Macaca mulatta: one gene and its partner. The protein of the gene in region 1 binds, or shares a complex with, the protein of each later gene. Links are inferred from orthologs where the notes say so. Each region holds a gene or a part of one and is shown on either strand. Other genes may lie near its edges.

Region 1 (3,819 bases):
CAAGGTAAATGGAACTCGGTAAGTAAAGAATAAACTGAGAATGTGCATGTTAAAAATGATAGTTACAAAGGTGACTGAATGGCAGGTGTTGAGTTATATAAACTATAGAAAGGAATTATGTAAACTATGAATTGGGAAAATAACCCCTAACCTCTGAAAGGTCTGCTGTTCAGACTGATTTTCCTAATTAGTATGCATTGATATGGTAATAATATTTAATTATTTTTCTTCTCTCAAAGGTATAAAGCCTTAATTAAATTCCTTTGTTAGGCTGGGTGCAGACTCATGCCCGTAATCCCAGCAGTTTGGGAGGTCAAGGCGGGTGGATTGCTTGAGTCCAAGAGTTCGAGACCAGCCTGGGCAACACGTGAGTCCCCATCTTAAAAAAAAGAAAAAATTCCTTTGTTAGCCAGAGGTTAGTCTGTAGTGTTTTGTTTTTTTTTGTTTTGGGAACAGGGTCTCTCTCTGTCACCCAGGCCAGAGAGCCATGGTGCAGTCATGGGTCACTGCAGCCTCAACCTCCTGAACGCAAGTGATCCTCCTGCCTCAGCCACCACAGTAGCTAGGACTACAAGCGGCGCACTACCATGCTGGAGTAATTTTTTAAAATTTTTAGTAGAGGTGGGGTCTCACTATGTTGCCCAGGCTGGTCTTGAACTCCTGGGCTCAAGCGATCCTACCACCTTGGCCTTTAATAGTGCTGGGATTACTGGTGTGAGCCACCATGCCCAGCACTGGTTTTGTTTGTTTTTAGTAGAGATGGGTCTTGCTTTGTCACCTAGGCTGGAGTACAGTGCTGCAATCTCAGCTCACTGCAGCCTCCAACTCCTAGGCTCAAGCGATCCTTCTGCTCAGCCTCCTGAGTAGCTGGGACGACAGGCATAAGTCACCACTTAATGGCTAACTTTAAAAATTTTTTTGTAGAGACAAGTTCTTGCTATGTTTCCCAGGCTGGTCTTGAAATTCTGGACTCAAGTGATCCTCCTGTCTGGGGCTCCCAAAGTGCTGGGATTACAGGTGTGAGCCACTGCACCTGGCCTGTGGTTTTTTATAACAATTGTATGGAATCTGAGTTTGATCTCACCTCTAGTCTAGAGCAGTGGCTCTCAGGTTTCAGTGTGCAACAGCATCACCTGGAAGGCTTGTTAAAAAACAGACTGGTAGACCCATCCATAGAGTCTGTGACTCAGTAGGTCTGGAGTTGGGGCCAAGGACCTGCATTTTGAACAAGTTACCAGACAGGGCTGATGCTGCTGATACAAGGAGGGCACTTTTGAGAAACACTGCTCAAGAGAAGTTCTTGATTGTACATAAATGCATTTTGTAGCTAAATATACACTGAACAGCCTTTAATACAAATTGTGGCTTCATTTCGCAAAAAAAAGTTTCATATAAATAACTACAGGCTAGCTTCTGGCTAGTAAGAAATCTCATTAGAGCTTTATACCTTTGATAAAAGAAAAACAAATGTTATTACCACAGCAATACATACTGAGTAGGAAAATCAATCAGCACAAAGACCTTTCAGAAGTCGGGGGTTATTTTCCCAGTTCACTGTTTATCTAACCTTTTCTAAGCACCTGCTTCTGCAGAGTTTGATGACTCTTAACTATTAATATATCTGCTTTCCTTAAAGTTGCAGGGAAATAGGGGATATTTTTTCCTTATCTTGCAAGCTCTTTATCCAGAAATTTAAAGGACTGTAACCTTTAAAAACAATATGGTTAGGCATGGAGGCTCACACCTGTAATCCCAGCACTTTGGGAGGCCAAGGTTGGGGAACACCTGAGGTTGGGAGTTCGAGAGCAGCCTGGATGACAAGGCGAAACCCCGTTTCTACTAAAAATACAAAAATTAGTTGGGTGATGTGGTGGACACCTGTAATCCCAGCTACATGGGAGGCTGAGGCCCAAGAATCACTTGAACCGAGGAAGGAGAGGTTGCAGTGAGCCAAGATTGCGCTACTGCACTCCAGCCTGGGCAACAGGGCAAGATTCTGTCTCAAAAACACACAAAAGTAAAATTAAATAAATGCAAAATGTGTATGAAAGTGCTTTACAAAATACAGAGTATAACACTGACATATATGAAGCATTGTCAAAATTACTGAACTGTTAAAAAAAGAAGAACTTGTCAGATACCATTTTGGCTTCAGTTTCAGTGATTCAATAGTCACACTGTTGAGCTATGACTCAGTCAATAAACATTTTACAAAGTACTGGGGATGCTGTGCTACGTATGGGGATTTGTCATGCACATGCTTCTGAATTGCACAGCGGTAACTACACCCACCCTCGTCCCCACAGAATGTTCAGACTTACGCATTTATAAGTTAAATGGCTACAAACCTTCATTTTAAAGACCGGCTGGAATTCTTTCAGAGCAGATAATAATTTAATTTGAATCGAGGCTCTTTCGGCTTCTTTACCATCTGCAAAAACATCAAAGAGGGCATCCAAAGCTTCTCCTGCTACCACAAGGGAAGGATCTTTGGTGGTAACCTCAAGCAGAAAGCACCCAATATTCTGGAAACAACAAAACACATTTAATATGACTAACACCAGTCTCCAAAACAAGTACTAACTTTGAATGTGGCAATAACTCATGCATACTATTTTATATACAAATGCCAGGGAAAAATTAAAATTTTAAGAGATCAGACTTAAATACTTATAAACATACCAAGTATAAGCAAGATAAATTAAACATATTATAGTTTATATTCATAAAGTGAATTAAAAACCATAAATGATGTATGATTTAGGAAATCACTAAACTTTCCTCTCTACCTCTCTCAAAAGGCTTGCTCTATGATGTCAAGATGCATAGAAATCTTATCTGTAACAACGACAACAAAAAATCTGCTTTTAAAAGCATAAGAAAAACACTTTACGGCCGGGCGCGGTGGCTCACGCCTGTAATCCCAGCACTTTTGGAGGCCGAGGCGGGCGGATCACAAGGTCAGGAGATCGAGACCACGGTGAAACCTCGTCTCTACTAAAAATACAAAAAATTAGCCGGGCGCGGTTGTGGGCGCCTGTAGTCCCAGCTACTCGGGAGGCTGAGGCAGGAGAATGGCGTGAACCCGGGAGGCGGAGCTTGCAGTGAGCCGAGATCGCGCCACTGCACTCCAGCCTGGGCGACAGAGCGAGACTCCGTCTCAAAAAAAAAAAAAAAAAAAAAGAAAAACACTTTAGGGCCAGTCGCAAGTGGCTCACACTTGTAAGTTCAGCACTTTGTGAGGCCAAGGCAGGAGGATCACTTGAGCCCAGGAGTTCGAGACCAGCCTCAGCAATGGAGCAAGACTTCATCTCTAAAAAATGTAAAATAGGACTGATCTGAATCTAAACTAGTCTGTAGATCTAACTGTCAGTGTGCAGGACATAAAAGGATAAAACAACAAATTTAACACCACAAGGTAGCAATCAGATAAATCCAGAAGGCTGGACACCATATAGGACAATTGATTCAGGAGCTGAGAATAACCAGGTGGTGCCGGGGAGGAATTGTTCAAGATTAAGAGAGAAGGAGAAGACCCCACAAGAAACATAACATGTGGACTTCATCAATGTAAACAAGCTCTCTGTAAACAGATAATTTTGAGGCAACTGTAAAATTATGAATATGGACCGGAATTAGACACACTAAGAAATAACTGTTGCTGGGTGCAGTGGCTCATGCCTGTAATCCCAGCACTCTGGGAGGCTGAAGGGGGCAGATGGCTTGAGCCCAGGAGTTCAAGACCAGCCTGGCCAACATGGCAATAACCCACCTCTATTAAAAATAGAAAAATTAGTCAGGTGTGGTAGGGGGCACCTG
Region 2 (3,819 bases), on another chromosome or scaffold:
GAGACAGAGGTTGCAGTGAGCTGAGATTATGCCACTGCACTCCAGCCTGGGCAATAGCAAGATCCTGTCTCAAAAAAAGAAGTGTTCCAGGCCGGGCGCAGTGGCTCACGCCTGTAATCTCAGCACTTTGCAAGGCCAAGGCGGGTGGATCATGAGGTCAGGAGATCGAGACCATCCTAACATGGTGAAACCCCGTCTCTACTAAAAATACAAAAAATTAGCCAGGCATGGTGGCAGGCACCAGTAGTTCCAGCTACTTGGGAGGCTGAGGCAGGAGAATGGCATGAACCCGGGAGGCAGAGGCTGCAGTGAGCTGAGATTGCGTCACTGCATTCCAGCCTGGGCAACAGAGTGAGACTCAGTCTCAAAAAAAAAAAAAAAAAAACAAAGAAAGAAAAGTGTTCCAGATTTCTGTTTTTTTTTCAGATTTTGAAATACTTGCATACACATAATGAGATATCTTGGGGATGAGACCCAAGTCCAAACACAAAATTCATTTATGCTTCATATACAGTTTATACACATAGCTTGAAGGTAATTTTATACAATTTTTATTTTATTATTTTTTATCTGAGATGGAGTTTCTTTCACTCTTGTTGTCCAGGCTGGAGTGCAATGCCGTGATCCAGCTCACTGCAACCTCTGTCTTCCAGGTTCAAGCAATTCTCCAGCCTCAGCCTCCCGAGTAGCTGGGATTACAGGAGTCTACCACCATGCCCGACTAATTTTTGTATCTTTAGTAGAGACGGTATTTTGCCATGTTGGCCAGGCTGGTCTGGAACTCTTGACCTCAGGTGATCCACCCGCCTAGGCCTCCCAAGTGCTGGGATGACAGGTGTCCAGCCAACATAAGGTTTTGTTTTTTTTTCAGACAGTCTTACTGTGTCGCCTAGACTGGAGTGCACTGGCATGATCTCAGCTCATTGCAACCTCTGCCTTCCAAGTTGAAGCAATTCTCGTGCCACAGCCGCCCAAGTAGCCGGGATTATAGGCGTGTGGCCCAGGCTCAAGCAATTCTTGTGCCACAGACTCCTGAGTAGCTGGGGTTACAGGCGTGTGACACCATACCCACTTAATTTTTGTATTTTTTAATAGAGACGGGGTTTCTCCATGTTGGCCAGGCTGGTCTTGAACTCCTCATCTCAAGTGATCCGCCCACTCTCTGCAACCTCTGCGTCCTGGGCTCAATTGTCCTGCCTCAGCCTCCTAAGTAGCTGGGAGGACAGGCGTGTGCCACCATGTCCAGCTAATTTTTGTATTTTTAGTAGAGATGGGTTTTGCTGTGTTGGCCAGGCTGGTCTTGAACTCCTGGCCTCAAGCAATCCACCCACCTCGGCCTCCCAAAGTTCTGGGATTACAGGCGTGAGCCACCATGTCCGGCCTGAGTACCTTTTTATATTAGTGATTTTTCATCTTTTATTTCTTGTTCTCTAAATAACAGTCATCTACTGTATAGTATAATATATACTTAGAAGCCCCCAGATCACATATGGAAACTCAAACAGGAGACTTAGGGCTTTCGATCTTAACTAGCTAAAAATTATAAAGTCACTAACTACATCTTATGATCATTGGGTATTTTATTGCATTTTGCCTTATTATTTTATTTTTAGTGAGAGGAAAATAGAAAAACAGAAGTGGTTGTATTAATCATATGGAGAAAACTAAGTGTCTCTGATTTAATACGGTTGAGCCCAAGATGGAAATTACTAGCTGACAAGAGGTGAATATATAAGTTTCATTTGGACATTTCATTGGACATCAGTCATGTATTTCATTGTGAAGGAAAACAAAAACCATGCACGAAATGCTAGATACAAATGGCTGCACAACCAGCACGACTGGACGGAAGACACTGTCAACACCAAGCTGTCAGCTCTCAGGCTGCGGCGCCAGCCACACCATAGCTCAAAATGTACAGCAAAGTCTAAACTCAATGTACAGAGAAAGGCAATTTGTGGGAGTCAGTGTATTCTTTAGGAAACTGTGTGCTCTGTCAGCCAGTACCAACGCCTTAAAAAAGAGAAGTCACACACTTACCTCAAGAACCACAATTACAGCATGTCATTAATTCTTTAATAAACATAGAATCTGCTTAAGAGGTTATTTTTTTGTTTTTTTTTTTTTGAGACAGGGCTCTCACTTTGTTGCCCAGGCTGGAGTGCAGTGGCACAATCATGGCTCACTGCAACTTGCACCTCCCGGGTTCAAGCGATTTTTGTGCCTCAGCCTCCTGAGCAGCTGGAACTACAGGCATGTGCCACCACGCTGGGCTAATTTTTATATTTTTTTAGTAGAGATAGGGTTTTGTCATGTCAGCCAGGCTGCTCTTGAACTCCTGGGCTTGAGTGATCTGCCTGCCTCGGCCTCTCAAAGTGCTGGGATTACAGGTGTGAGCCACCATGCTCAGCCTGCTTAAGTTATAATATAGTTATACTGTGGTAGGGGTAGAAGGCCTAGGCTAGAGAGACAGGGTGAAATGAATCTAGCCACTGAATCTTCTTATTCCTTTTAGACTCAATTGTTTAGACTTAGGGTTTTGAGATTTGCTTCGGCTGGCCAAGGATTTGTGGCTTAGTGCTGCGAATCCAACCAAGAACAATAAAGAGATGCTGCATAAAGCTAGGAAGAGCTGGTGCACCTGGCTCAGTGACACTGCAGTATCAGATGCTCTGGGGCACTGGAAAAGTAGGGTTTCGGAGGCAAAGGACTGAGGATCAGCAGAAAGCTGGTGCCACTGCTATCCCGCCAACTCTCCAAAACACCTTTTGGCCAGATACCAATTCTAAGTTTGGGCTCTATAAAACAGTCACACAGTTTTAAACGCTAACCCTGAGGATTAAGAAAATATGCGAAGAAATGCTCTTACTTATAGCTTCGAAAGTAAATCTTCCCATTCAGTGCAGTGAAGTGCAGAACATACTCTAATCCAGCCAGGCGGATATTTGATACTGTGGGGCCTCTGAAGAAATCTAAAAGCACATATTAAATTGTTAACAAAACAAAACAAATACTTGCAAAATTCAGTTACAACTGCATTCTAAACAGTTTTGTTCTAATACTTATCTAAAAAAGCACAAAAAACGATTCCTGAAAAATGTCTGAAGGTCTCACCCCTTAAGCATTTAATCTCATGACTTTATTTCTGTGTTCAGTTCACTGAGACATTTAATGTTTCAGTTTTGAAGTTCTTCCTCTGAGTCAGCTCGGCAACAAAAAATCATATCCATTAAAAAAATGTAAATCAAAGCATAAAATTTTAACCTATAGGTAGATGAAGGTAGCAAATTTCTGTAAAAATGATTGTTCAAACTGACTATTAAAATCAAATTAGCTTCAATTTTTTTTTCTATGAGGGAGGTCAACAAGAAAAAAATTCTAAGAAGAAATTTTGATTATATAAGCAAAGGATAAGAAACTTTATAAACTGTTAATGCCAGAAAAGAAACTTGGATATCAGGGATAGGCTTTTTTCTCACAAAGTGGTAATCATACCACTGGTGGCACATGCGAGCATTTTAATGATACAAAGCCAGATATAATTTACTACATATTTATTTTATCATGTACCATTCTCCATTTATGACAGGGACATAAAGTTTCCTTTTAAAAAGAGTAGTTGGCCAGGCAGTGGCTCATGCCTGTAATCCCAGCACTTTGGGAGACTGAGGTGGGCAAACCGTTTAAGCTCAGGAGTTTGAGGCCAGTCTGGGCAACACGATGAAACCTCATCTCCACTAAAAGTATAAAAATTTAGCCAGGTTGTAGTCCCGGCTACTGGAAGGGCTAAGGTGGGAGGATTGCTGAACCACTGGACTC

The links.
Region 2: HEATR3 (region 1) and RPF2 share a complex: the UniProt entries of both Homo sapiens proteins name them as parts of the hexameric 5S RNP precursor complex. The link is inferred for Macaca mulatta from reciprocal best matches to the Homo sapiens genes HEATR3 and RPF2.

The regions. Positions count from the first base shown.
Region 1 is NC_133425.1:45,548,701-45,552,519, reverse strand, and holds part of HEATR3 (HEAT repeat-containing protein 3), read right to left. Parts: intron 2,526-3,819; coding exon 2,349-2,525; intron 380-2,348; coding exon of another isoform or gene 314-379; exon of another isoform or gene 1-313. UniProt on the Homo sapiens protein: Plays a role in ribosome biogenesis and in nuclear import of the 60S ribosomal protein L5/large ribosomal subunit protein uL18 (RPL5). Required for proper erythrocyte maturation.
Region 2 is NC_133409.1:16,098,422-16,102,240, reverse strand, and holds part of RPF2 (ribosome production factor 2 homolog), read right to left. Parts: intron 2,973-3,819; coding exon 2,870-2,972; intron 1-2,869. UniProt on the Homo sapiens protein: Involved in ribosomal large subunit assembly. May regulate the localization of the 5S RNP/5S ribonucleoprotein particle to the nucleolus.